Tamandua tetradactyla: one gene and its partner. The protein of the gene in region 2 interacts with the protein of the main gene of each other region in a biochemical or structural test. Links are inferred from orthologs where the notes say so. Each region holds a gene or a part of one and is shown on either strand. Other genes may lie near its edges. The genes, in order: DAPK1 and KLHL20.

Region 1 (15,504 bases), on a different chromosome or scaffold from region 2:
CAGGTTATGATGCTAGCAAATTTCAAAGCTGGATTTTGGATCATGATATCTGTCCAGTGATTCATCTGACTGTCACTGCTGTATTATAATCTTAATACTTTATAAAGTTCTTCACAGTTGACAGTGAACTTTCGTAGCAGTCCTGGACAGTGCACACAAACACACACATAAACACACACTCACATATACATACTCTCTATCAGTTTTTCTAAAAATAAAATAACAACACTGTATTCTACTTCTTTAAAACTTCCTCCAGCCATAGATTTTGTCTCAGTATATATTTTAAGTGAGCAGCTATTATTTATATGACTGCCAAAGATATGTAGGACAAGTCTTAAATCCTAGATGTTGGTCTCTATCTCTCACTGCTTAGAATGGTTTCGCATTTGTCCTAAATATCTGCTCATTTCTGTTTCTCTGCCACTAAACTCCTACTTCCATACCTCTTCCCAGTGACCCAAAAACTCATAAAACCAGCATCTTTCTAATATGCGCATCTTGAGACAGAATTTGTTTTCAGCACGTGGCTATTTCCAAGGCAGACATAAAAATCACAGGACTTGAAAAACCTCCTAAAAACCAACCATTCACCCCTTTTTAAGGTAAAAATGATAGCTTTGTCAGGCATTTGAATATGTGTACTTTATTTTGAAAAAATCTCCAACTCCCAGTTTTTCAAAGCACTTCTTTCAGATTCATAGTTTACATAAACAATATTATTCAGTAAACAATTTGTCAATTAGTCTTGCACAGTGGGGAGAAAGTTGCACACTGAAATGTATACAGAGCCAAAATCAAAGTGAAATGCTAGTGACAAATGAGCAAACAACCTCTTAGCAGAGGCGAGGGTTTGTCATCACGCCCACGAAATAAGGAGCACAAACTCCCCTCACCCGCCACAAAATAAAAAAGAGGCCTCTTTATTTTTCTTCCTCATGACAAATAACTTTACCAAAAGACCTTAACGAAAACAAGTCAATATACTATACTCATAAAGCAATCATCTCACCTAATTTTAATAATCTTTTTTTAGCTTTTTTATTGTATCGTATAACATATATACAAAGCAAAGAAATAAAAAAGCAATAGTTTTCAAAGCACTCTTCAAAAAGTGGTTAAAGGACAGATCCCAGAGTTTGTCATGGGCTACCATACGATCCTCTCATATTTTTCCTTCTAGCTGCTCCTATAGGAAGCTAGAGGACTTAAATACTTTTTATCACAATCGACTTTTTTTCCTTCTTTTTTCATGAACAATAACATTTGTACAAAAAAGCTACAAATTTCAAAGCATAGCACCACGATTAGTTGTTTAATCATCTCTTTTAACAATAGATCTCATATAATCGGGCCACAGAATACAAACTGAATTAGAATGTTTTTTTCACTTTTTTCCTCAAGGAAAACTCCATATATCAGTCTTCTTGCTAAAAACCACCAGAATAAAGTGATTCACTTCTAGTTAAGCCAAGTATTTTAACCACATACCCTTCAACTTCAAACCTAAACATACCCATGAAATATGATTTTCCTTCTTACTCATTTACTCACTGAGTCCCCATGTTTTGAGTCAATACTAAACATACGCAGAAATACTGCTATAATAACTTTTTAAAAATTGCTTTCACGTTGCCCTGTGATTTGAATTTATTTTTTAATTGAATTAAGCTCAATTTTAATATTTCTCGGGTAATCTAAGATGTGGAAGTTTTTTAATTTCCTTCTCATGAAGAAAAAAGGAAACTTTGTATCGGGACATCAGATGTGTATGGAAAAATAATTATTTCTGTACATGCATAAGTAAGCACACAAACTTCTGGCAAATGTATCACAAATTCCATATTTTGGATTTTAAATGTAGGTATGAAAATTGGCTTTTCTGCTAAAGTAGACTGGAACTCAACAATCTTTGAAAGACCCAGAGGGGAACTCGGTGAAACATGACTCAGTTCTTATAAATCTTCTGATCTGATCCTCAACTTCAAGACAACAAATGCAAAAGGACACCCCTCAAATAAATCATTCTTTGTTCACCTACAAACTGAAAGACTTAAACAGCCAGAATCACAGCTTCTACAGCAATCCAACAGGCGCAGAATCCAGAAAGCCATATTAGACTCTGATTTGTTAAAATTTTAATATTGTAAACGAAGCCAATCCAACCACTAACACCAACAGATAATTAAATTCCTGGATTGAAGAAGTTTCAAAACCCAAAGCCAACTTCAGCATCTGGCAAGTGTCCATTTACAGCCTACCAATACTTGTTCTTGTCACTGTGTCAACTCAGAGAAGAGATGCATGGAGATTTTAAAATTCTACTAATTCGTGTGCACTCTCTTTAAATCACATATAACCAGTCACTACCTACAGTGGCAATTATAATCTTAGCTTTTGCCTCATTGTCTCAGAAGGGTAAAAAACTGAGAAGAGTTCCTGCAGACGATTAATCTGCTCTGGTCCCAGGGTTCTGATCAATAACAGACTTTGCATCATAATCTAGCCCTGAATTGCCTCGCCCCTACCCCACATTTTTAGGATGAGGTGGTTTATTTCTAGCCCCAGGTCCTCGCTGGGTTAGCAACTCTTCTCTATATAATTTGCCCATCTCCTGGAAGCGCGAGGGAGATGCCTGATGCAAACTGGATTTGTGTACCGCCCCCAATATTATGCACTCTCACAATCCAGTTGTGTTCGCTTCTGACACCCCTCGTACCTGCCAAGTTCCTCGCCGGTGTCGTAGTAATCATCCACGTTTTCCTGCCTGAACACGGTCATGATAAACTGTCACGCCTCACCAAAGTCCGGCGCACTTCAGCTCCACTTCCCAAACCATCACCACCGCTCCTGCGCCTCCGTAGGGCCCTCATGCATCAGTCTCCAGGCCTTTAAAAAAAAAAAAGGCAAGAATAATAAAATATCAACCCAAAAAAGGAAGTAGACATTCCCAGGGCTAGGACTCGCTCGCTGAAGGCCACGTCTCCAGCTGGGGGTGTGCAGGAGACACCAAGCTACCCCTCCCCGCCTAGTGAAGAGGCGCACCCTTTGTTAAACCCGAGTCAGGGGCGCCCCCCAGCCCTGCGTCGCCCGCGCGCGCGTAGGGCCCGGCACAACCGCACCCCAAGGTCCGCATCCTCGAAAGCGGACGGGCGGCAAGGATCAGAACCGGCTCCGGAAGGGACTGGCTTCCCCGCCTCCCCCTTTCTCTGCACACACGCCCACCCAGCTCCCCACCTCCAGGGGCGCCGCGGAAGAAGGAAGCCCTCGCCCGGGCGGCATGCGCCTCGTTAGAAGCATCCTTCTCCAGCCCGCAGCGGCTGTGGCAGCCCCCGCGCCACCTCTGGGCTCCCGCACCTCTCCGGCCACCCCTCCCCCTTTACCTCCTTCCCTCCTCACGAGCCAGGCAGTCCCCGGAGGCACATTCCTGGCGACTCCCTCTCCGTTACCCGGCCGACCCGGCGTGCGGCCGCCCGGGGGAGCAAGGGAGGGAAGAGAGCCGCCGAGGGAGGCGCCGCCGCCCGCTCCAGTCCCCTCGCCGGGACACAAAGCGCCCGGCCCGGCCCCGCGCCACCTGTTCCGACCCGGGCCGCCAGGTTGGAGCGCCTCCCGTCGGCGATCCCACTTCTCCCCGCAGCCAAGTTTACCCCGCCCTGGCCTTCCCCTTGCAGAGGCGCTGCCCTGGAAAGCCCCGCCGCGCGGCGATCGCGATGGCAAAAGCAGGCGTTGGGGCCGGGGAGGAGCCCGGGGAGTCGCGCGCGGCCACTCACCCGGGCGCCCGGGAGCTCCTGGGGTCCCTCCGGAGCGCTGTCGGAGGCCGACCATAGGCGCCAGCGCCGGAGACCAGCAGGGTGGCGACGAGAGCCGAGGGAGGAACCGAGTCGGAGGCAGCGGACCCCGCGCGTCCGCACGGGCGCTGGCTCCAGATCCCGGCAGCTGCGAGGGTCGCCGTGCCCCCTCCGCGGCGGGAACAATGTCCCTGGCGTCGCCTCGGCCGGGCTTTCCCGCTCGGGGTCCGGAGAGGCTTCGGCTCCTGGCCACCTCCCGGGTGGAGGGCGGCCGGCAGGCGGCCAATGGGGACCCCGCGGGCGGGCTGGCGGCGCGCGGCCCACCCACCTCCGAGCTGCCTGGCCCGGCGGGCGCTGCTGGTTCTGCGCGGCGCTGGCTGCTACACCCAGCTCCGCGCTCCCGGCTCGCTGGCGCGCTCTACCGCGTACACCCCCGCGCACACCCACTCACCCCACACGCACGCCGGGGAGGGGGAGCGGGCGTCCCACCTGTGACCCGCGGCGGAGTTGCCCCCTCCGGCTAAGTTCTAGAAAAATGAGATTCGGTGGTTCAGCAAAAGTGTCCTGAGAGCCCTGTGTGTCAGGCACGGTGTTCGGAACAGCGAAATCTCTGAGAATAAAATAGTTAAAAATAAAAATAATAATAATAAAATTTCTGCCCTCGTGAAACTTCTATTCACGGAGACGATAAACAATAAATATGCAAGCAAATAAGATCACTTGAGAAAAGACAAATTCCATGAAATCAAGGTTAACCGGACAGAGAATGACAGTGAAGGGGTGAGGGGTTTGGAGAATACCTTAGATCATTAGGCAGGGTCTTCTCCAGGACAGTGTTTTTGAGTTAAGTTCTGAACAGTAAGAAGATGTGCAATCAAAGAAGAAAGGATTGGGGTCCCAGAGGCCCAGCGAAACAGCAGGAACTGAAGGGTCTTCTAGTGTGGCCCAATATGATATTGGCTATTGACCAGTTGCAATGTGGTTAGTCTCCGTTGAGATGTGCTGAAAGTGCAAAATAAGCTTCAATTTCAAAGATGCAATATGGAAATTAGACTGCGAAATATCTCGTTAAATTTTTAAAATTGATTTCTTGTTGAAATGATAATATTGGGTTAAATAAAATCGTTATTTAAATCTATTCATTTGTTCCTTTGTATTTTTTAAAAAGGTGGCTACCAGAAAATTTAATTGTATATATGTGACTTGTATCTTATTTCTTTTGGGTTATTCTAATCTGCACAGGGATCCCATAACCACTGGAGACCAGTTATCCATTTTCTTCTGTACTTCTTATCCCAGTCTCCCACCAAGCCTATGGGCGGGGAAAGCAGAAAGGATATTTCTGTCAGGGACATCTAGGGGATCCCCAAATAGAGGAAAGTTCCTAAAAAGAAATTTATTTTATATCCAATAAATACAAAAACTCATACGATAACCCCTCTGAGAATTCAGATCCATATAATGTTCAAATTCCCAGGTTTTCTAAAATGGGTTCGTTTAAAATCTCTTCGGTTTAACAGAAATTTTGAACTGTGGAGATTTGGGCTGCTTTAAAACCAACAAAACTAAAGAATGCTCTCAGGCCTTAGGTCAGTAGTCTTGAAGATTACTTAAGGAATATTTCATTTGAAGGCCCTCAGGAGTGGCCTGAGATTGAGCCTAATAATGGAATTGGGGGAAGGGTCCAAATTGGGAGCTGGTATTAACCTAAGCGGTGGGTTTGAGGATTAACACAAAAGGATCTTGAGAGGTGAGAAATGCAGTCAAAAAATAACAAAATAAGTGATTCATCTGGGAAAAATGCAAATGAATACATCTGTTGGGGAAAAAATAAAAAACACAGATGTTTGGGAGAAATTTGGGAAGTGCTTACACATGATGGCTTTATGGGTAATATTTTTCTTGCAAAAGAAATATGTGTGTTTTGCCTGGCAATCAAAAGGATTGTATGAGTTTGGGTGCTTGTTTCAGGGTGCAGTGTATCTTACCTGCCCTATTAGAGAGTGCAATCACGGGAGATATTCTAAGGTAGAGAAAAAGAGCATGGAATTTGGAGCTACAAAAATTGGTTCTAGTCTCATGAAACCAATGAACAGCTAAATGACTTTGGATGAGTCACTTACCCCTGAGCTTTGTATCTGCACTTATTTAGGCAAGCATTTTGGAGAGGGGAAATGTGGTAGTTTAAAAACTTGTCTGCAAATAATTTGACACTCCTGGAAACAGAAGTAGTCTAATTCCCCTTCCCATGAATATGGCCTGGACTTAGCAGCTTGAAAATGTGGTGGAAGTGACACAAGACTAGGTCATCAGGTGTTAGAAGTCTCTCTCTCCCTCTCTGAATCTGTCTCCACTGTCTGTCTCCTTCAGCTGCCAAGAACTACTGTTTCCCTGGGGCACCATGTGAAGAAACTACAGAGAAAAAGAGGAACCCCCCAGCTATTCGTGTCCCCTCCCCCACACTCCCAGTTATTTGCATTTTCACAGTCCATGTTCTGTAAATAAAATAAATTATTGTTTTGTTTTAAGCCATTGTTTTGGGTGGTTTCCTACACAGCAATAGATAACTGAAACAGGAAACTTAACTCTCAACACAAATTGGGTGCCAGGCAGACTAATTCTCCCAACTGATCTTCAAATAACCCTGTAAATTAGTTGTCATTTCCATTTAAGCCTTAAACCTCTTAGTCTCAGTTTCATCACCTGCAGAATGGGGGCAATAATCCTTCTCCTGTATATTCCTCCAACTTGTTGGGAGAAACTAAATAGATAATACATAAGACAGTGCTTTGTTCATTGTAAAATACATCAGAATACTGGGTATTATTATATTTTCTATCATATTCCAGCAAAAAAAGGTTCTGGGGCACATCTCTCAAACAAAAAACCAAAAATAAAATAATCCTCAAGTTATGAGATTCAAGGTGGAAAGTTCCTACATAAAATGTGATTATGATATGGATTATGGATTATGATAATCATGGTGATAGCATTTGAAACAGACTCAAGTGCAGATTTTCAAAAATAATCTTACAGTTATATCAGTCAGGGTTAAGTAACTAGCTGCTACCAACCTCCCAAATCTCAGAAGCTTAGCATATTACAGGTTTATTTCAGTACCTCAGCACAGATGTTTGCTGGGGGTGGGAAGGGGGGTCTGCTCTCTGCTCCATGCAGTCATTCAGGGGCACAACTACTTGCTGGATCTATTGTCCCCCAGGGCATCTGTAGTTCCCAGTTGGATTCTTTTCATCTGGTGGCTGAGGGGGGGAAAGAAGAGAAAATACAGGAAGGATTGCACTTAGAGCGTTTTTTCAAGGACAAATAAAAAAACAAAAATAAAATAATCCTCAGGTTATTTGAGGGAGAGGGACACAGCCTGAAGTTTAAGGATTAACCATTCTTTTTTCAAGATCATCTAAGTGCAACCAATGTGGACCATGTTAGCTTCTAAGTTACTTTTTAAAACATACCTTAGGCTTTTATCAAGGGCTAATATTTTTAAGTGGTCCTTGAAGAATATTCCTGCACCTGTGGTTTCACTGCTGAAGCAACAGTCCATTATGCAGTTGAGTGCCTCTTAGGTAGCCTGTCATGTGGCTGCTTCTGATTCCTCCCACATTTGTCTCTCCTGACCAAATAATGTTTCCTTCTATCAGACAATGAAAATGATATAGGACATTCTGTTCCCCATTTTGCCCTGGATTCCAAAAATCACAGTGGCAAGCTCAGAAAGCACAGACTCAAGAAACACCCAACTCACTACATTTACTATTCAGTCAATACAATCAACAGGCCATTATTGAATACCTAGTATATGTTATATGCTAGGGAGGCAGAGATTTGGAAAAAAAAAAAAAACCATTCTCTTCTCAGAAAACCCAATCTAATTAGGGAAATCAATGAGTAAATGGACAATTTATATGCTGACCTGTAAGATAATTTTAACTCATTCCCTTGTCCTCTGGCTTCTGGTAGGTTTGGCCAATAGGGAGCCACAGCATGAAGTCAAGTCGAAGGGAGGGGAGTAAGATCAAGCTAGCTATTTCCCTGCTTTCCTCCCTGCAGGGTTGCCTTGGTCAATGTCAAACAAAGGTCACTATTCCTTGCAAGATGACTTTTGTACATGATTTTTCTTTCCAAACTTTGGTAACCACCCTCCTGTCTCTTTGGGCCTAAGGTTGGTGCCAACTCTAGTATTACTAACCTGGGGTTCCAGTTCATTCCCTTATGGCTTCCATACATTCTTCCATTAGGATGAACCATCCTAATTTGAGTGTGCCTCCTCTTTCCTGTAGGATCCTGACTTATACCCTAATGAGAGAGGAATGCCAGAGTGCTGTGGAAGCACCCAAAGAGGATACTTAATTCGGGTAAGGGCCAGAGATGGGAGATGGAAGGTAGGGGTGAGAGTGGAGTTTCAGGGAGATTTCTAGAGGAGCTGACATCCTAGCCCAAAATTTGAAAGACAATCAAGAGTTAGCAGAATAAAATGATGGACAATGGGGTAGTGAATTGTAAAGCAGTAGGAGTTGGAGAAGTTGGCATTTAGGCAGAAAAAACAGCCAGGTTAAAATCCTGGGTATGCGAAAGACAATGGTTCACATAGGCATCAATAAATAATTAGAGCCCAGGCAGTGAAATGGCAAGAGGTTAAGAAAGGTGAAAGATCTTTCCCACCTTGTCCAGGATTTGGCTAAGAGTGGAGAGATTAACCAAAGTCTTATTAACTTCTCTACTCTCCACTATTGATAGTCTTGTCCATTGTGCCCAGCAGATGGGGGTCTTCTTTCTGGAGACACTGATGCCCAGGGTTGATTAAGGATAATTTGGCAGATCCCTGGAGAAGATGGATAGAGAAAAGCAATGAAATGCTTTAAAGAGGAAAGGCATCAGAGGGCTTGGTATCTGAGGAAAGGACAGAGTCAGGATGACTCCCACAGTTTTGGTTGAGTAAAAGGCAGATATTGCTGCCTATAGCTGAAATACAGGAGGACAAGAGGTTTGGAGGAAGGTGAGGTCAGTCTTAAAGACATGAGATTTGAGGTGCTTTGGGGCATCTAGAAGATGTTGAGGTGGAGATGGGCACGTGTGTTATAGAGGGGTAAGTCTGGTGTACACCATGGGAGCTACAGACCTGGGAGTATGTGAAATCCCCTAAGGCTAAGACCCAAGACCAAAAAGAAGAAGGGTAAGGCCCTCCTCTCTCCCCACTTTGTCTGCCGGTTCCCCCTCCTGCTCCGGCTGCTCTCCAACCACCACCGTGCCCTCTTCCGCCTTCACCGGCTCCTCCGCCACCGGCCTCAACAGCCTTGCCACCCTCACCTTTCCTCCTCCAGAACAGTTACTAGGGGAGTGGAGACAATACAGAGCAGCTCCCGGAGCCATGATGGAGATCAAAGGGACGGCGTACCCCATCCTGGAACGGCTGACTATCTGGGAGAACCAGCTCCGGTGAGATCACCGAGGGGCGCGGGCTTTCCTGGGTGGGACGCCAAGCGGCCGGAGTCCCTCCCTTCCTCCTTCCCAGGCCAACTGGCAGAATTGGGCAGGCGGTCCCCTTGGGCCGCGGCGGCTGACGCCCCCACCACGCGAGGCCCCCCGGACCAACTGAGAGAGTTGGGTCAGAAATCCCCAGACTGCGGAGAACGGTGACTGGGGGGTCTCTTCCAAACACGTGACTCCCCGGTCCAGCTGGGAACAGTGCACTCTCCCGGGCTGCGACGGCTGGCGGCCTCCCGCCACGCTTGGCGCCCCGGGCAGACAAGGAAATTCGGTCGGGCGCTCTCCCGTGCTGCAGTGGCCAGCGACCGTCCCCGCGTTCGGACCCCCGGGCCGGCTGGCACTCTTCCAAGACGCTTCGGCTGCTGAACCTCCCCTACGGTGAGAGTTTTCCAGAGTTAAAGGACCCACAGCACCTTTTACTGGTGGAACCCGTAGACAAACGTGTGCCACGAGCGCCACCTACTGGGCAGGATAAGAAAAACAGAACCCAGAGATTCACAGAAAAATCTTTCAACCTGTGGGGTCCAACACCCAGGGAAATCTGACTAAATGCCCAGACGCCAGCAGAAGATAACGGATCACGCTCAGAAAATTGAAAATATGGCCCAGTCAAAGGAACAAACCAATAGTTCAAATGAGATACAGGAGCTGAAACAACTAATGTTGAATATACGAACAGAAATGGAAAACCTCTTCAAAAACGAAATTGATAAATTGAGGGAGGACATGAAGAAGACATGGGCTGATCAAAAAGAAATAGAAAAACTGAAAAAACAAATCACAGAGCTTATGGAAGTGAAGGATAAAGTAGAAAAGATGGAAAAAAACAATGGATACCTACAATGATAGATTTAAAGAGACAGAAGATAGAATTAGTGATTTGGAGGATGGAACATCTGAACTGCAAAAAGAAACAGAAACTATTGGGAAAAGAATGGAAAAATTTGAACAGGGTATCAGGGAACTCAAGGACAATGTGAATCGCACAAATATACATGTTGTGGGTGTCCCAGAAGGAGAAGAGAAGGGAAAAGGAGGAGAAAAACTAATGGAAGAAATTATCACTGAAAATTTCCCAACTCTTATGAAAGACCTAAAATTACAGATTCAAGAAGTGCAGTGCTCCCCAAAGAGATTAGACCCAAATAGGCGTTCCCCAAGACACTTACTAGTTAGAATGTCAGAGGTCAAAGAGAAAGAGAGGATCTTGAAAGCAGTGAGAGAGGAGCAATCCATCACATACAAGGGAAACCCAATAAGACTATGTGTAGATTTCTCAGCAGAAACCATGGAAGCTAGAAGACAGTGGGATGATATATTTAAGTTACTAAAAGAGAAAAACTGCCAACCAAGACTCCTATATCCAGCAAAATTGTCCTTCAAAAATGAGGGAGAAATTAAAACATTCTCAGACAAAAAGTCACAGAGAGAATTTGTGACCAAGAGACCAGCTCTGCAAGAAATACTAAAGGGAGCACTAGAGTCAGATACAAAAAGACAGAAGAGAGAGGCATGGAGAAGAGTGTAGAAAGAAGGAAAGTCAGATATGATATATATAATACAAAAGGCAAAATGGTAGAGGAAAATATTATCCAAACAGTAATAACTCTAAATGTTAATGGACCGAATTCCCCAATCAAAAGACATAGACTGGCAGAATGGATTAAAAAACAGGATCCTTCTATATGCTGTCTACAGGAAACACATCTTAGACCCAAAGATATATATACGTTGAAAGTGAAAGGTTGGGAAAAGATATTTCATGCAAATAACAACCAGAAAAGAGCAGGAATGGCTATACTAATATCCAACAAGTTAGACTTCAAATGTAAAACAGTTAAAAGAGACAAAGAAGGACACTATATACTAATAAAAGGAACAATTAAACAAGAAGACATAACAATCATAAATATTTGCGCACCGAACCAGAATGCCCCAAAATACGTGAGGAATACACTGCAAACACTGAAAAGGGAAATAGACACATATACCATAATAGCTGGAGACTTCAATTCACCACTCTCATCAATGGACAGAACATCTAGACAGAGGATCAATAAAGAAATAGAGAATCTGAATATTACTATAAATGAGCTAGACTTAACAGACATTTATAGGACATTACATCCCACAACAGCAGGATACACCTTTTTCTCAAGTGCTCATTGATCATTCTCAAAGATAGACCATATACTGGGTCACAAAGCAAGTCTTAAAAAATTTAAAAAGATTGAAATCATATGCAACACTTTCTCGGATCATAAAGGAATGAAGTTGGAAATCAATAATAGGCGGAGTGCCAGAAAATTCACAAATACATGGAGGCTCAACAACACACTCTTAAACAACAAGTGGGTCAAAGAAGAAATTGCAACAGAAATTAGTAAATACCTAGAGGTGAATGAAAATGAAAACACAACATATCAAAACTTATGGGACGCAGCAAAGGCAGTGCTAAGAGGGAAATTTATTGCCCTAAATGCCTTTATCAGAAAAGAAGAAAAGGCAAAAATGCAGGAATTAACTGTCCACTTGGAAGAACTGGAGAAAGAACAGCAAACTAATCCCAAAGCAAGCAAAAGGAAAGAAATAACAAAGATTAGAGCAGAAATAAATGAAATTGAAAACATGAAAACAATAGAGAAAATCAATAAGACCAGAAGTTGGTTCTATGAGAAAATCAATAAGATTGATGGGCCCTTAGCAAGATTGACAAAAAGAAGAAGAGAGGGGATGCAAATAAATAAGATCAGAAATGGAAGAGGAGACATAACTACTGACCTCACAGAAATAAAGGAGGTAATAACAGGGTACTTTACACTAATAACAACTTTACGCTAATAAATACAACAATTTAGAGGAAATGGACGGGTTCCTGGAAAGACATGAACAACCAACTTTGACTCAAGAAGAAATAGATGACCTCAACAAACCAATCACAAGTAAAGAAATTGAATCAGTCATTCAAAAGCTTCCTAAAAAGAAAAGTCCAGGACCAGACGGCTTCACATGTGAATTCTATCAAACATTCCAGAAAGAATTAGTACCAACTCTGCTTAAACTCTTCAAAAAAATTGAAGCAGAGGGAAAGCTACCTAATTCATTCTAGGAAGCCAACATCACCCTCATACCAAGACCAGGCAAAGATATTACAAAAAAAGAAAACTACAGACCAATCTCTCTAATGAATATAGATGCAAAAATCCTCAACAAAATTCTAGCAAATCGAATCCAACAACACATTAAAAGAGTTATACATCATGACCAAGTAGGATTCATCCCAGGTATGCAAGGATGGTTCAACATAAGAAAATCAATTAATGTAATACACCACATCAACAAATCAAAGCAGAAAAATCACATGATCATCTCAATTGATGCAGAGAAGGCATTTGACAAGATTTAACATCCTTTCCTGTTGAAAACACTTCAAAAGATAGGAATACAAGGGAACTTCCTTAAAATGATAGAGGGAATATATGAAAAACCCACAGCTAATATCATCTTCAATGGGGAAAAATTGAAAACTTTCCCCCTAAGATCAGGAACAAGACAAGGATGTCCATTATCACCACTATTATTCAACATTGTGTTGGAGGTTCTAGCCAGAGCAATTAGACAAGAAAAAGAAATACAAGGCATCAAAATTGGAAAGGAAGAAGTAAAACTATCACTGTTTGCAGACGATATGATACTATACGTTGAAAACCTGGAAAAAATCCACAACAAAACTAGTACAGCTAATAAATGAGTACAGCAAAGTAGCAGGTTGCAAGATCAACATTCAAAAATCTGTAGCATTTCTATACACTAGTAATGAACAAGCGGAGGGGGAAATCAAGAAACGAATCCCATTTACAATTGCAACTAAAAGAATAAAATACCTAGGAATAAATTTAACTAAACAGACAAAAAAACCTATATAAAGAAAACTACAAAAAACTGTTAAAAGAAATCATAGAAGACGTAAATAGATGGAAGGGCATACCATGTTCATGGATTGGAAGATTAAATACAGTTAAGATGTCAATCCTACCTTAATTGATTTACAGATTCAATGCAATACCAATCAAAATCCCAACAACTTATTTTTCAGAAACAGAAAAACCAATAAGCAAATTAATCTGGAAGGGCAGGGCGTCCTGAATTGCTAAAAGTATCTTGAGGGAAAAAAACGAAGCTGGAGGTCTCACGCTGCCGGACTTTAAGGCATATTATGAAGCCACAGTGGTCAAAACAGCATGGTATTGGCATAAAGATAGATATATCGACCAATGGAATCGAATAGAGTGCTCAGATATAGACCCTCTCATCTATGGACATTTGATCTTTGATAAGGCAGTCAAGTCAACTCACCTGGGACAGAACAGTCTCTTCAATGAATGATGCCTAGAGAACTGGATATCCATATGCAAAAGAATGAAAGAAGACCCGTATCTCACACCCTATACAAAAGTTAACTCAAAATGGATCAAAGATCTAAACATTAGGTCTACGACCATAAAACAGTTAGAGGAAAATGTAGGGAGATATCTTATGTAACTTACAATTGGAGGCGGTTTTATGGACCTTAAACCTAAAGCAAGAGCACTGAAGAAAGAAATAAATAAATGGGAGCTCCTCAAAATTAAACACTTTTGTGCATCAAAGAACTTCATCAAGAAAGTAGAAAGACAGCCTACACAATGGGAGACAATATTTGGAAATGACATATCAGATAAATGTCTAGTATCCAGAATTTATAAAGAGATTGTCCAACTCAACAACAAAAAGACAGCCAACCCAATTACAAAATGGGAAAAAGACTTGAACAGACACCTCTCAGAAGAGGAAATACAAATGGCCAAAAGGCACATGAAGAGATGCCCAATGTCCCTGGCCATTAGAGAAATGCAAATCAAAACCACAATGAGATATCATCTCACACCCACCAGAATGGCCATTATCAACAAAACAGAAAATGACAAGTGCTGGAGAGGATGCGGAGAAAGAGGCACACTTATCCACTGTTGGTGGGAATGTCAAATGGTGCAACCACTGTGGAAGGCAGTTTGGCGGTTCCTCAAAAAACTGAATATAGAATTGCCATACGACCCAGCAATACCATTGCTAGGTATCTACTCAAAGGACTTAAGGGCAAAGACACAAACGGACATTTGCACACCAGTGATTATAGCAGCAGTATTTACAATTGCAAAGAGATGGAAACAGCCAAAATGTCCATCAACAGACGAGTGGCTAAACAAACTGTGGTATATACATATGATAGAATATTATGCAGCTTTAAGACAAAATAAACTTATGAAGCATGTAATAACATGGATGGACCTAGAGAACATTATGCTGAGTGAGTCTAGCCAAAAACTAAAGGACAAATACTGTATGGTCCCACTGATGTGAACCGACATTCGAGAATAAACTTGGAATATATCATTGGTAACAGAGTTCAGCAGGAGTTAGAAACAGGGTAAGATAATGGGTAATTGGAGCTGAAGGGATACAGACTGTGCAACAGGAATAGATATAAAAACTCAAAAATGGATAGCACAATAACACCTAATTGTAAAGTAATCATGTTAAAACACTGAATGAAGCTGCATCTGAGCTATAGGTTTTTTTTTTGTTTGTCTGTTTGTTTGTGTCTTTTTTTTTACTATTATTATTATTTTTATTTTTTTCTCTATATTAACATTCTATATCTTTTTCTGTTGTTTTGCTAGTTCTTTTCCTAAATCGATGCAAATGTACTAAGAAATGATGATCATGCATCTATGTGATGATGTTAAGAATTGCTGATTGCAGGACTAGATACAAAAACTCAAAAATGGACAGCACAATAATACCTAATTGTAAAGTAATCATGTTAAAACACTGAATGAAGCTGCAACTGAGCTATAGTTTTTTTTTTGTTTGTTTGTTTTTATTGTTGTTTTTTTTACTATTATTATTACTTGTATTTTTTTCTCTATATTAACATTCTATATCTTTTTCTGTTGTGTTGCTAGTTCTTCTAAACCGATGCAAATGTACTAAGAAACGATGATCATGCATCTATGTGATGATGTTAAGAATTACTGATTGCATATGTAGAATGGTATGATTTCTAAATGTTGGGTTAATTTCTTTTTTTCCGTTAATTAATAAAAAAAAAAAAGAATTACTGATTGCATATGTAGAATGGAATGATTTCTAAAAAAAAAAAGCATCTGCT
Region 2 (15,137 bases):
AGAGGTAGCGAGTGTTGAAAGGTAGGATTCTGTTTTAAAAGAAGAAAAATGGGGAAATCCGGATAATGGAAATAAAATAAATAAAAGGCAAGGAGTTAAAGCAAAGCAGCGTGAACTTGTGAAAGAGCATCGTGAAGAGCCTTTTAAGTCATTTGAATTTTATCTTCAAAAAAATGTATTCTCTTAAAGGTCTCAAGTCCTAGCTGAAGGAGACAGTCCCCAAGGGCAGCCCTGGGCCTCCAGGGTTAAACAAAGAGAAGGCCTGAGGAAACGGTGCGGAAAGGAGCAACGCAACCATGCGACCTGGAGGCCGAGGGAGGCCCCGCGGAGGCAGTACCGGTCACTTGCAGGCACCGGAGTTCGCTCTTAGGACCTAAATCCCCGGGGGACCTTACGAGATTCCCAAGGGTGCCCACGGGGCTTGGACAGTGTATGCAAGGCTCGCGGCGGATGCACATCCAAAGAACGCCGCGATTGGATCCCAGTCCTCCCCATCCCGCAGTCCCCGCCCGGAGGGGCCTGGTAGTTAGTTGGATACCAGCCGTCCCCCGCCCCCGCCGCAGCACCCCAACCTGACCCGCCGCCTACCCAGCGCCAAATCCGCAGATTCCTGGTCCCCGGACTGCGGGCTTCCGCGGTTACCATGGCGACGTCGCACGCAGTGCGCTGCAGCGCCTCGCCCAGCGCGGCGATTCCGGTTGCGCGCCAAGCTTAAAGTTGCTGCAAAGAAAGCGCGGGAAGGGAGGGGAGAAAACCTAAAGGAACTCATCGAGATTTAAGACGTTGTGTTTGGATCATGGCATGCGGTTCTGTCTTTAGTTTTTAATATTCTGTAATATACTTTATATTTATTTTAAGCTTTTTAAAATAAGGAGTACATATTAGTTGCTCGGGCCTTCTTAATCTTATTTTAGGCCTTTCAAACAGAAGATAGTAATTATAATGAACAGCTTGCTTATTTTCTATTTTTTTCTGGTCCTCTTTTTCTTGTGGTGTATGGTCATTGTCACCTGTTTTAAGTAGTTTCCTAACAAGTGCCAGACATGGCAGAAGAGAAAGGAAATCTTAAACCATATTCCTACTGATTCAGGAATTTAGGATCCAAAACAAACAGTAAATTAAAAAGAGGGTATGGGGTGGGGGTGGAGGGTGGCAATGAAAAACAGTAGAGAAGGACCAAGTTTACCCAGTAATGATAAAAACTTTTCATTATTATATCTGTTATGGTGATCTGGGATCAGTGCTCTTTTTTGTTTACTGTAATTGTTTTGAGGGGTCACAAACCGCACCCATATAAGACAGCAAACTTCTTTGATGAATGTTGTATCTGTTCTAACTGTTCCACCAACTGGCAGATCTCTCTCTCTCCCTCTCTCTCTCTCTCTCTTTCTCTCTCTCTCTCTCTCTCTCTCTCTCTCTCTCTCTCTCTCTCTCCCTCCCTCCCTCCCTCCCTCCCCCCTCCCTCCCTCCCTCCCTCTCTCTCTTTCTCTCTCTCACCTCCCTGTTACCTGAGACACAACAATATTGAAATTATACCAGTTAATAACCCTACAGTGACTTCTTAGTGGTCAAGTGAAAGGAAGAGTTGCCCATTCCTCATTTGAAATCCAAAGCTAGAAATGATTAAGCTTAGTGACAAAGGCAAGTTGAAAGCCAAAATAGGCTAAAAGACAAGAAAGATTCTTGAAGGAAATTAAATGTGTTAGTAGGAGGGAACACAATAATGATGAGAAAGCAAAACAGCCTTTTTGCTGATATGGAGAAAGCGTAAGTGGTCTGGATAGATGATCAAACCAGCCACAACATTCTCAAAGCTAATCTAGTGTTCAAGGTCCTAACTCTCTTCAATTCTTTCAAGGCTTAAAGAGAGGTGAAGAAGCTACAGAAGAAAAGTTTGAAGCTAACAGAAGTTGGTTCATAGGATTTAAGTAAAGAAGCCATCTCTGAAACATAAAAGGGTAAGATGAAGCAGCAAATGCTGATGTAGACGCTGCAGCAGGTCTTCCAAGATCTAAGATAATTGATGAATGTATCTACACTAAACAACAGATTTTCATTGTAGATGAAACAGCCTTCTGTTGGAAGAGAATGCCATCTAGGACTTTCATAGCTAGAAGAAGAGAAGATAATGCCTGCCTTCAAAGCTTCAAAGGACAAGGTGACTCTCTCATTAGGGGTTAATGCAACTGTTTAAGTTGAATCCAGTGCTCATTTATCTCTCCAAAAATCTTAGGGACCTTAAGAATTATACTAAACCCATACTGCCTATGTTCTATAAATGGAACAACAAAGCCTGGGTGTCAACACAACTGTTTACAACATCATTTACTATTTTAATCCCACTGCTGAGACCTCCTGCTCAGAAAAAAGATTCTTTTCAAAATTTTATTACTGCTCAATGACAATGCACCTAGTCACCCAAGAGCACTAATGGAAATATACAGAGAGATATTGTTTGTATACCTGCTAGCATGACATCCATCCTGCAGCCCATGGATCAAGGAATAATTTTGATTTTCAAGTCTTATTATTTAAGAAATATGTTTCATGAAGTTATAGGTGCCATAGATAGTGATTCCTCTGATGGATTTAGACAAAGTCAATTGAAAACCTTCTGGAGATGATTCACCATTCATTAAAAATATTTGTGATTTATGGAAAGAAGTCAAAATATCAACGTTAACAGGGGTTTGAACAAAGTTGATTCCAACCCTCATGGATGATTTTGAGGGTTTCAAAACTTCAGTGGAGGAAGTAAGTGCAAATCTGGTGGAAAAAGCAGGAGAACTAGAATTTGAAGTGGAGCTTAAAGATGTGACTGAATTGCTGCAATCTCATTATAAAACTTGAATGGATGAGGAGTTGCTTCTTATCGAGGAGCAAAGAAAGTAGTTTCTTGGGATGGAAGCTACTCCTATGAAAACCACTGCACATTGTTGAAATGACAACAAAGTATTTAGAATGTTGTATGAACTTAGTTGATAAAGCAGTGGCATGGTTTGAGAGAATAGTCTAATTTTGAAAGAAGTTATACGGTGGGTAAAATGCTACAAAATAGCAATGCATGCTACAGAGAAATCCTTTGTAAAGGAAAAGTCAATCAAACTTCATTGTTAGGTATTTTAAGACACCCAACCTTCAGCAACCACCACCCTGATCAATCAGCAGCCATCAGTATTGAGGCAAGACCCTCCACCAGCAAAAAGATTATGACTCAACTCTCTGAAGGTTCAGATGGTGGTTAGCATGTTTTAGCAACAAAATATTTTTAAATTAAGATATGTACATTTAAAAAAAAACATAACGCTGCTTCACATGTAATAAACTACAGTACAGTATAAACATAATTTATATATGCCCTGGGAAATCAAAAAATTCATGTGACTTACTTTATGCTATATTTGCTTTATTGTGGTGGTCTGGAACCAAGCCCTCAAAACCTCCAAGGTATGCCTCTGTTGACTGATTTTCTTATGTTAAACTGTCCTTGCATTCCTGGGATAAATTTTACTTGGTCACAGTGTATAATAATTTTAATGTGCTGCTGAATTTGATTGCTAGTATGTTGTTGAGGAATTTATATTTATATTCATAAAGGATATTGGTTTGTAATTTTCTTTTCTTGTAGAGTCTTTAGCTGGCTTCACGATCAGAGTAATGCTGACCTCATAGAATGAATTAGGGAATGTTTCCTCCTCTTCAATTTTTTGGAAGAGTTTGAACAAGGTTTTGTGTTAATTCTTCTTGGAATATTTAGTAGAATTCACCACTGAAGCCATCTCATCATGGGAGTATAATAATACTGGTGTTTATTTGGAATATAATACTGATTTTCAGATTTACCTATATAGCTACCCTTAATAGTGTTCTATATTTCTTCATATTACTTCAAGTTACTGTCTATTGTCCTTTAATTTCAGCCTGAAGAATTCCTCTAGTATTTTGTGTAGAGCAGATCTGCTAGTAACAAACTCCCTTAGCTTTTGTTTGTATGGTAATGTCTTGATTTCTCCTTCATTCTTGAAGAATAGTTTTCAGATGTAGAACTCTTGGTTAGCAGTTTTCTTTTTTTCTTTCAGCACTTTAAATGTTAGCCCATTGCCTTCTGGCCTCCATAGTTTCTAATTAGAAATCAGCTCTTAATCTTATTGAGGCTACCTTCATATGATATGTCATTCTTCTCTTGCTGCTTTCAAGATTCTCTCTTTGTCTTTGTCTTTCAACAATTTGACCATAATGTGTCTCCATACAAATCTCTTTGAGTTTATATTGCTTGGAGTTCATTGGGTACCTTGGATATATAGATTCATATATTTAATAAAATTTAGATAGCTTTTAGTCATTATTCTCCAAATATCCTTTCTACCCCTTGCTCTCTTCTCCTTCTGGGACACCCATAATGCATATATTGACTCACTTGGTGGTGTACTTCTAGTCTTTCAGTCTCTGTTCACTTTTCTTCATTCTTTTTCCTTTCTTCTCCTCAGACTGGATAAGTTCAATTGTTCTGTCTCAAAATTTGCAGATTATTTCTTGTGACTTCACAAATCTGCTGTTGGACCACCCTAGTGAAAGTTTCATCTCAATTACTGTACCTTTCAGCTCCAGAATTCCTATTTGGTTCCTTTTTATAATTTCTCTCTATTCTCATTTTATTCATTTATCATTTCCTGATTTTCTTTAGTTTATCTATAGTTTCCTTTAGCTTTTTGAGCAAATCTACCTGCAGGACAAGTTTTAAGATGGTGTGTCTTTCAGGCTGCTACCAGACAGGTAGGGACTAACATATATGTTCCTATTATGTACACAAGGGTTACTCTGTTTCCTCCAAAACTGGGACCAGGGACCCACATTATGAGTGCAGGCCGGCTCTGCACCAAACTAGTAAGGGGTGGGGGGAGGACCAACCAGGGCACATGAGATCCTACCACTTTTAAGAGGGATTTTCTTGATTTAGTACTGACCCTGTTAACACAATCCTTTAACTGCTTTTGGAGCTTTTAAAAACATATTTTGCCACTTCTTGTTCAAATTTCTTTTGAGCAAGAAGTGTGGGAAAGAGCCCTGAAATTTTCACTCTGCCATCTTGATTGGTCAGGACCTCCCACTAGTTACATTTTTAAGCACCTATTACGTGCTGGGCACATCTTTAATATTTTATGTGTATTTGTGGCACTTACTCTTCATAATCGGGAGATAACAAATCATCATTAACTATCTTTTTTTGACCAGGACAAGATTTGACCTGACTAGGTATCATTTGGGACACATCTTTTTTGTATTTTGAATATATTTTTTATACCATTTAATGGCTCCAATTGTCAGAAATTTGAGCACACCATAGAAACTAAAGAGGTGTAGTTCAGAAATAGATTCTTCGGTGACTATTGTGGTTTTGTTGCTGAAGCTTTTTTACAGTTTTGGCAATGATATGGTTTCTCTTTCATATTGATCCTCTTATATGGACATAACTTATGTAAACTTTCTTTTCCATGTGAATTACCTAGTTCTTATGGAGATCCAAGTTCTGCATAAGGCCTTTGTTTTAAGGTTTGCATTTAAAGAGATTTTGAAAGTTCTCTACTGGCTGTCAAATAGAGATATATAAGAGAAACTTTTCTCACACGCCCTATGTTGGTAGGGTTGTAGTTCCATATCTGCATTATTTTGACCAATAAGATGCCGATGGTGCACTATGAAAAAATTGGAATTAACACTTGTCTTAGGAATTCTCCTCCACATTCATGTATAGGACAGTATACATGTGTGACTCCTCCTTTGACCCTTGATGAAATCTAACTCTTCAGAATAAGTAAATTCTCTAAATCTAAGATACTCAGGATTATATGAATACCTGAGGCTCTAATCCAGATTATACGCAGATGTCTCATGACACCATGAAAAACTAAGATCTGTAGTAATCATCAACAAAGAATTTATCACTACTACACTGAATCTGCAGTTTTAAGAATCCAGTATCTGACTGAAACTCGTCTAATGGGTTTGCTATGTTCTTCCTCAATAATATGCTCACAGCATGTTTAGAAGTCCCATTCTTGTCTACTAGCCTTCTAGTAGAAGATGTGAATTTCTTCATATCTGAGAACATCTCTAAAGTCTTAATTAAATTAACCTGGAAAACCTCCAGATTTATAGGCCTTCAACTTCTGGTTAAGTTGTAAACCCAATGATAGGTTTAAATGGTACCCATTTTTATATGATTCATGTTGATTTAATTTTAGATGGCCTTTTTCCACAAAATAATCCCATTTTATGAAATAGCTGTGTTATTCATTTTCTAATGGCCTATTTATCACATGGCTGGAATGGTAGTAGAATGCAGGGGACAGATTTGAGAAACAGATTAAGGTATCAACAGGAGGAGCCTTCTCTGAAGAAAGTCTGCCAGCATCTGGGACACCTTTGTCACAGGGAAGTTACATGGCTGGAATCTGCTGGTCCTTCCCTCTTGGGTTTCATTGCTTTCAGCTCCGGCCTACAGTAGTTCTCTCAGCTTCTACAGGTGTTTTGTCTCTCAGCTTCTCCAGGGCTTTTCTCTCTAAGATCTCTGGGCTTTTCCTGTCTTTTTTCCACTCACAAAGGGCTTCAGTAAAAGGATCAAGATCCACCTTGAATGGGGTGGGTCACATCTCAGTTGTGGTCCCACCTACAATAGGTCTGCACACACAGGAATGAACTAGAAGAATATGGTCTTTTCTGAGGTAAATAACAGCTTCAAACCATCACAGGTGTGAAATGGCATCTCATTTTGGTTTTGATATGCATACTGTTGTTGGCTAATAATGTTGAGTATCTTTTCATGAGCTTTCTTTCCATTTGCATATTTTCTTTAAAGAGGATATGTGGTTTCCAAATATTTTCTCCCATTTTGTGAAGATTCTTTTTTAGCTTTTTAACAGCTGTTGTATGTAGCAATGTTGACTTTCAGAACTGCAGAACTCCAACTCTGAGTCTTAGGCGTCACACAAGAACCCAATTTTCCAGGGAAATACTGGGTTATAGATTTATAGAACAGCACCTCAGAATCTAGAATACTTACAACTCCAGACTAAATGTGGCAGCTTTAAGAGCTTACCCCAATTTTTTATAAATATTTTTTTTGTGTTCATCCACTCAGAGCAGAGCCCGCAGCGATCCAAAGTTGTTTCTCAAATGTCATGATCAGTGATTAGCCATGCCCAACCCTGGTCTTAGGGAAATGATTTTTATGTCTCTTTCTGTTACCAGTGACTTAACCAGGGATTGGACCACTTGGTGTCCTCCCACGAGTGTGAAGGATGGGCACCTTTAGGTGCCACACAGAGATAGCAATTTACTTTTCTTTATCATCATTTACCAACCTTTTCCCTCCCACTGTCCTGGATGCTGTATAGTGTTCTTTTACTCTCTGGAGTTTCAGAATAGTTGTTTCATACTGCTCATGCCTTGTTCATAGCTGTTCTGGTAGAAGGACTTAGTCCTGGAACTACCTACTTCACCATCTGTCTACAATCCCAACTCACTTTTGAATATTAATTCATTATTTCACATAAGTAGTTCAGCAACAGGGAACTTTCTGGGCAAGGAAATATGGGTAGTTCAAAAATGACACGTAAGGATCCACATTCTTTCAGCCTCTCTGTTCTACCATTGTTACTGTCTAGCTTCATTCTCCTCTGTTTTACCTCATGGTTGCAAAATGGTTACAGCAGTTCCAAGTATGACATCCAGACAGAACAATGGCCAGGGAAAAAAAAGAGGCTCTCTCTCCTTGTGTCTCTTTCTCAAAAGCCAGGAATCCTTACCCTGCAGTTTCCATTATATTTCCCCTCATTTCTGGTTGGTCAATATTAGGTCATTTGTATGAAGATGTGATTAACAAGATTGGTTTAGACCAAATATTCATAATAGAAAAGTTGTTGTGAAGTCAATCACCATAACCACATAAATGTTCACTAGCATGTTAGCTCTCTGAAAGGAAGCTACTGTTCTCAGTAGTCCACTACTGTATCCCCAAATCCTAGCACAGTACCTGGCAAACAACATATGCTCAATTAATTAATGATCCCATCTAAACATCTAAATAAATAGAATAGGAGAGGTGAAAACTGACATTTGTTGAGTGTCTACTAAATAGACTTACAACGTGATATTCATTTTAATTTACTTCCCACAAATTCATTAAGAAGATATTACTTCCCTTCTATGTAAAAGGAAACTATGCTTAAGAGATTAAGAAGTTTGTCCAAGATCACAAAATTAATCAGACACAGGACTGGACTTTGAACCCATTGATCTAAAGACTATATATTTGCACCGCAAGCTAATTAACAAGAGGTAATCTTATGCTTTCAGAAACAATTGGACAAATCTATGTTGATACCATTTGAAGAACAGCTGAAAAATATCTGCTTATGTTAATGTTTAGCCTAAGATAGGTATCAGGAAACGAAGAAGAGCCTTTCACCAAGAAGCTTGAAACCATAACCCCACAGTTGTATCATTTGTTACATAGTAAACAAATGATACAACTGTTTTACTAAATACATAGTAAAGCAGATGTCTGTGTGCTATCTGAAAATCTGGGGGCAATGAGCAAATTGAAAAAGGATTTTCCCCTTAAAATCAAAGTGACTCCACAGAAGTGTTTGTTGAAGTGACAGATAAATACTAATTGAAAGGTCAATCCAGCATGGCCTTAAGAGTCCTGATAAAATCCTGGTGTCTAGAAAGCTGGATTGTGTGAATGCTGGAACACTGGGTCTGTTTCTGATTTTTCCGTGTATCCTCAGCATCTTGCACATAGTAGGGCCCCAATAGATACATGCAAATCCCACGTTTAGGGTCAAGATTGTGCCAGTAGGAAACCTGCCAGCTACGAATAAAAATTCCTACTATTTCATTACTACTCCAATCTTCCAATTGCCTTCTTCTGGGGAAAACAAGACAGGACGAAACATCAGTATCCAAAATCTGACAGGCGGTGAACTCGCAAAATGGACAAGTTCAACATACAAGGAAGTGAATACGAGGACAGGCAGTCTGACGTTATCCAAATCCCCAGCAAAAGGCGCGACTACATCTGGAGTCACACCAGAACCTCTTGGCTGAATGTGTGTGTTCCGGAGGGGAACGCTTTAGGAGTAGGAACACTTCCTGCTCCTGCGCAGGGGCGGGGGAGGAACTAGCTCTGAGGAGCGGCATCCTGTCTGCACAAGCGCTGGCAGAGTGGGAGGCAGAAAGGCTGCGTGAGGAGGAGGTAGAGAAGGTTGCAGCAGAGGAGGCTGCGGCAGAAGAGAAGAGTTTATCAGAGCCGGTAAGTGAGCCGCCTTAGAGTAGAATACGATGTACAGCACCAAGAGGCTCGCTTTGCAAATCTGCAGTCCTAAGTTACCAGGCTGCCGGGTAGGGTCGGGGCCGTGCCTTGTCCATCGCCTGTCAGTCGGCGCCGAGGAGGAACTGTGGGGAGGCTGGGCCTTGCGGGGCATCAGACTGCGCTCTCGCGGGCTGTCAGCCCTCACCCTAAGCCGAGGGGTGCCCTGGGATTCCTCCCTAATTATTCTCCTACAACGGTGGTTGGAAACCCGGGGAAGGAAAGGGCTGTTGGGCGTCCCATTTAACCCCTGGGACCTGGAGATTCTGCCAAGTGGATGGTGGGCGTTATTTCGGGGACGGAGGAAAGGGCTTGTAAAGATATTATCTATGACCGAAGCCACACTTTCCTTGTGCTGTTAAGCTAACCGGACAATCGGGAGGGAGTTGTTTGTTTGTTTTTTAAATGTCTCCTCCCACTCCTGTCACTTCTGGACAAGTTAACAGCCTTCAGATCCCTTGTTAAACAAACGTGCCCCCTACTCGATCTCTCACGGTGCAACTGCTGAGGATATCCGGTGAATGCTTTGTAGATGCACTTGATGGCGAGGTCACGGTTAAATGTTTCCACGCACTTTTTTTTTTTTAATTTTATTGACAGATCTTCACATACATACAGTCCATACATGGTGTACAGTCAGTGGCTCACAATATCATCGTGTAGTTGTGTGTTCATCACCATGTCCAAGCACTTTTTGAAGAGAGACAAGACTAACTTTGCTATCGGGACTATTTCTTCCGTCACCTTCACATGCAATCATTTTAGCATTCAGAGTAAGGATATAGAATTGTCTTAAAGTTTCTGGATTCAGTTATGATTTTACGTCCATAAAAGGCCTGAGGTATAAAGGAGATAAAATTCTTTATCATCGAATGAAATGAATGAAACTTTTATATATAGTTTTTTTACTGAAAAGGTCAGAAATAGTTTTTAAGTTACTGCTTTTCTATTGTCTTAGGTTCGGCTTTAGAGTGTGCTGAAGGGTACTTTTCATGGTGCATGGAAGGAAAGCCAATGCGCAGGTAGGCATTTAGGAAGAAAACCTTCTGTTTCACTATTGGAATTCAGCAGGTAATAATTCAGACTTCATTTTAAAAAAATGACTTTCAGCTCTCATTAAATTCTGCTTGAAACTAATGGCTCTTGTTCTAAAATAAATCAAAAGTAGTATCAGGAATTAATATCTTTTTAATAGAGTATAATCTGAAGCTGAAAAAGTGCTTTGACTTTTATGTAATTTTTAACATTAAGTTTTCCTTTCTGCGTGGGTTTTTTTTTGTCATAAAGAATCATTAACTGTACTAATGCTTTATAGGTTTATAATAGTCTTCCACTCCCTATAGAATGTAGAGAATTCTGTTGCTATATAAGAATAATAATTACTTGTAATACACTGTGCTGCATGTCTGATTATGGTTTTGGTTATTTCTTTGGTGTTCTATAATACATTTGTTCTGTTAATTGAAATAACTGCATTGCAGGGCAGATTGTTCAAGGACTGAAAAATGTATTGAACATGAAATTTAGTCCATAGGAAAATAGAATATGTGGGAACATATAGACAATTATAGGCCCATCCCAACCTAGAATTTAGTGATACTTTTTCTCCCTCTGTTCTAGCAGGTGATACTAAAATCCTTATTGAAATGAATTCAATCCAGTTCTATGTTTTCCTTTCAAACCCTACAATCATAAAGCAAAGTTTCACTTCTTAAACTCATTTCATTTTTATTGTAATGTTACTTGTTATTTGACATTAAAGATAAACAGCTGTGGGAGACTTTTGTAAGAGAAGTAACTGATGGGAGAATGATTTGTAGCTTAGAACCAGGAGCGAAAACCAGAATGTACATCTCTTTCCAAATCTGTTACTGATTTATTGATTGGCCTTGAACTGTTCACCTTTTTTGTGCCCTAGTTTACTTTTCTGGTTTATCTTACCAGGATATTTGTAATTAATGAATGCTTGAAAATGCTTTGAAATGGCCAGGTGGAAAGATGTTATGGGTATGACAGATGCCATTATCTTACTTCTGTCTTCCTCTTTAATAAGAGTAATATTTGACAGCAAATTACATGAAGAAATTAACAACTCATATTAAATGTTTCATCCCTTTAACGTTTAACATGATCGCAAAACCCACTAATTGCTACTACTCATCCTCAGTTGCCATAAATGTCATACCTTATGTAATTGCTAAAATGATAATTTACTGTCTTTTTAAAAGGGAATATTTTTGGTTTGTCAGTAATTTCTATGTGAAAGGTTTGTTTAATCACTCGTCTATTCTTTTTCTCCTTGCTTGATTACATAATACTCCTGATTATTCAGAATTCTATGGGAGAATTCTTGTGCCATTAATCATTAAGTTACAGGTCTTTCTTCATCATCTTTTCACTTGACCGGAGCCTGGCCTCCCATTGCTCTCTAATTTGCTTTTACCTGTTGTCACAACTCCCTTCCCTTTCCTTGTTGAGCTGTCATTCTCTTAGTGCTGCAGCCAGAGGAAGTCTCTGCAAAGTAATGTTGGGTTTATACTCAGTTGCTGTTTAAGAAGTTTTAAATGAGAAGTAACTCATTTTCCATAGAAATTCTCCCTACTGGACTGTGAGCTCTTTGAATCCCATATGTCTTCTGTATCTTTGCATCTCTAGCACCTTACCACTGAATAATTTTTTTAATAACTAAACAATTGATCTACAGGCTTTTTTTCCCCTGGGCGGGGGGTGAGGGGAACTGTGGACAAAAAGAGATAAAAGCTTCATTACATTCATTTATTTATTTAAACAACTATTATTGCATGTACGTGATACAGAATTTAAAAGATATATTGGCACAGGAAGACCTTTGTACGTGGGAAACTACTGTAATGATTCTTCTCTTGCTTATTCTAGAAATAGGTTGTGGGCATCTAGAAAAGGGCAGTGGTAATTATTATTAATAATAATAAAGGCAATGGTGAATAAAATGAGAATTTTATTGGTGTTAGAACGGCCCATATGAGAAAGCAATTACCCTGGTTTTGACAGTCCTATGGAAACTGCTCCCTACCTATCTGAGCTCATGATAATTTCTCTGTAGCATATAGGAACCGACTGGGGAATGGAAAGTTGGTTGTAACTGATTAAATTGATTTTACAAACCACTAATTGGTTTGTACCTAGAAGTTTGAAAAATACTGTATTGTGTCCCGTTAATTGCCAGCCCTATATATGTACATAGCTTCCAATCAGATCTCTAATGCCTTACTCTTACTTATGAGTGGATAACCAAAAGATCTCATGACATTTTTAAAAATTTAATGAATACTCACAAAGAAGCTCAGCACAATTCACGATGTAAAAGAAGACATTTTAAAAATGTATTCCCAGAGAAATAAAAGATATAATACCCCCCCAAAGAAGTATATTGGAATATTCCATGAAAAATAAGTTTCCAAATGCTGACTCCAATCCCCAGCTCTCTCCAGAGGCAACCACTGAAGAGTTTCTTATGCGTTCTTTAAGAGGCATTGTCATATGTATACAAGCATATATGGACTATCTTCCCTTTTTAAGAAACACTAGTGGGCGGGCCACGGTGGCTCAGCAGGCAAGAATGCTTGCCTGCGATGCCAGAGGACCCGGGTTCGATTCCCGGTGCCTGCCCATGTAAAAAAAAAAAAGAACACTAGTGTCAGCATATCATGCATATTTTTTTTCACTTCATGATTTTATCTTGTAGATTGTGACAAATATATATAGACTGCCTTATTCTTTTTAATATTTATATATTGTTCCATTGTTGTAGATACCATATGTAATCTGTCCCTTTTGACAGACATTTAAGTTATTTGAAATGTTTTGCTGTTATAAACAGTTCCACAACAGATATCTTTGTAGGCAGTTATTTGCCCAAATGTGTAAGTATAGAATAAATTCTTAAATGCAGAATTGCCCAAAGAGTGCATTTTTAACGTGATACTAACAAATTTCCCTCCTTAGAGGTTGTGCCAATCTACAGTCTCATGACTATATCTGTTTTGCAAGATATTATTTTTTAGTTGTTTCATTTAGAGATGCTAAAATATTTTGAATTATAATTCCTCCATCTTTCCTTAAAAATATAAATAAGAAACAAGTATTTTATTTTATTAGACTGTTTATTCATTCACCAAACATTTTTATAGCACTGTGCTCTATGCCTGAGACTATACTAAATATATTACCTGTGAAGTGATGGAAACAGACATGTAAACAAACACTATAATACAAGATGAAAAGGATTTTAATAGAAATGTAAATACCAATGACGGAGCTTCTGCTCTGTGGAGATAAGGAAAGCTTCACAGAGATGGTGATGTTTAAGCTGGGTCTTCCATAAAAAATAAAATTTACTTCTAAAGTGGGGAATTGATTAAGGACACCATAAGCAGAGAGAACTACTTGTGGAAAAAAAAAAAAAAAAAAAGGACCCCAAGGATTGCATGACACATGGAATGGAGAGTTTATCTGGTGTATATGGTATATGGAAGGAAAAAGGGGAAGCAGGAAAAAAAATTAAGAAGCGGGGGAAATAAGTCAAGGAAAATAAGGCTGGAACCATAGGGAAGAGTTTGAACTTTTTATCCTTTAGGTATTCTAGTTTGCTAGCTGCCGGGATGCAATATACCAGAATCAGAATGGCTTTTAAAAAGGGGAATTTAATAAGTTGCTAGTTTACAGTTCTAAGGCTGAGAAAATGTCCAATTAAAACAAACCTATAGAAATGTCCAATCAAAGGCATCCAGGGAAAGATACCTTGGTTTAAGAAGGCCAATGATAGTCAGGGTTTCTCTCTCATCTGGAAAGGCACATGGCGAACACAGTCAGTTTCTCTCTCGACTGGAAAGGCACATGGCGAGCAAGGCATCATCTGCTACTTTCTCTCCTGGCTTCCTGTTTCATGAAGCTCCCTGAGAGGCGTTTTCCTTCTCCATCTCCAAAGGTAATTGGAATATGGATTTGGGCCAGAAGAGAACATTGGGCTGGGAATGAAAAGTTTGTGAGTCATCAGTACACAGAAAAGTCTTAAAGCTGTAGGTATGAATCAGGGTAGGCTAGAGAAGAATACCAAGGACAGAACCTTAGGGAGTACCAGAAATGTTTAAGGTGCGACCTAAGAGGAAGACTCAGTGAAGATTCTAAAATGGGTTAAAAGTTTAGGTGCTAATAAAAAAAGTTAAAAAAAAAAAAAAGTTTAGGTGCTTTGAACCTTGGTTTATTTAATTGTATGTAGAGTTTTTATAGATAGTTTTTCAATGACAGTGAAGATCAGATGAGCTGTTCCCTGAGTTCAACTTCAAAAGAAAAAGCTTCCAAAAAACACCAGATCTCCTATCACTCGGATTACCTTTTTATTCTAGTCAGTCTAAAATGTATGCTTAAAAAGAAATAGTGTTAAATATACCTGCTTGATTTGGCTTTTCCCTGGTGCAGTATTCACTGTAGGTTGGTTCACTCAGACCCTTCATCCTTTCTTCCCTCTACCATAGACAGTACAAAATTAAATATGTACTTGATTTCTTAGTCTTCCTTGTAATTTCAGGATGGCCATCTGACATATTCTCCCAAGGAAATGTCAGCAGAATTTGGTGAGGAGTATTATAGGAAGGGTTTTGCTTGCCTGGTGTAAAGGGAGGCAGGCTTGCTTGCACGGCTGTTTGTCCTTCATCTCGCCTTGATTCCTGGGTCAAGGCATTCAATACTGACTCTCATTTTATCTAATAAGCAGTGGTTAGATGTC

The links.
Region 1: the proteins of KLHL20 (region 2) and DAPK1 are reported together in a solved structure, tested with the Homo sapiens proteins (2 studies listed by BioGRID and IntAct, with this or other methods). The link is inferred for Tamandua tetradactyla from reciprocal best matches to the Homo sapiens genes KLHL20 and DAPK1.

What each region holds. Positions count from the first base shown.
Region 1 is NC_135328.1:120,791,804-120,807,307, reverse strand, and holds the start of DAPK1 (death-associated protein kinase 1), read right to left. Parts: upstream 7,049-15,504; 5' UTR 6,909-7,048; intron 4,791-6,908; 5' UTR 4,589-4,790; intron 4,026-4,588; exon of another isoform or gene 3,771-4,025; intron 3,536-3,770; exon of another isoform or gene 3,384-3,535; intron 3,353-3,383; exon of another isoform or gene 3,238-3,352; intron 3,177-3,237; exon of another isoform or gene 3,046-3,176; intron 2,890-3,045; 5' UTR 2,782-2,889; coding exon 2,720-2,781; intron 1-2,719. UniProt on the Homo sapiens protein: Calcium/calmodulin-dependent serine/threonine kinase involved in multiple cellular signaling pathways that trigger cell survival, apoptosis, and autophagy.
Region 2 is NC_135330.1:27,514,418-27,529,554, forward strand, and holds the start of KLHL20 (kelch-like protein 20), read left to right. Parts: upstream 1-9,176; 5' UTR 9,177-9,316; intron 9,317-10,331; 5' UTR 10,332-10,372; coding exon 10,373-10,395; intron 10,396-15,137. Other genes in the region: ANKRD45 (ankyrin repeat domain-containing protein 45), read right to left, coding at 589-645. UniProt on the Homo sapiens protein: Substrate-specific adapter of a BCR (BTB-CUL3-RBX1) E3 ubiquitin-protein ligase complex involved in interferon response and anterograde Golgi to endosome transport.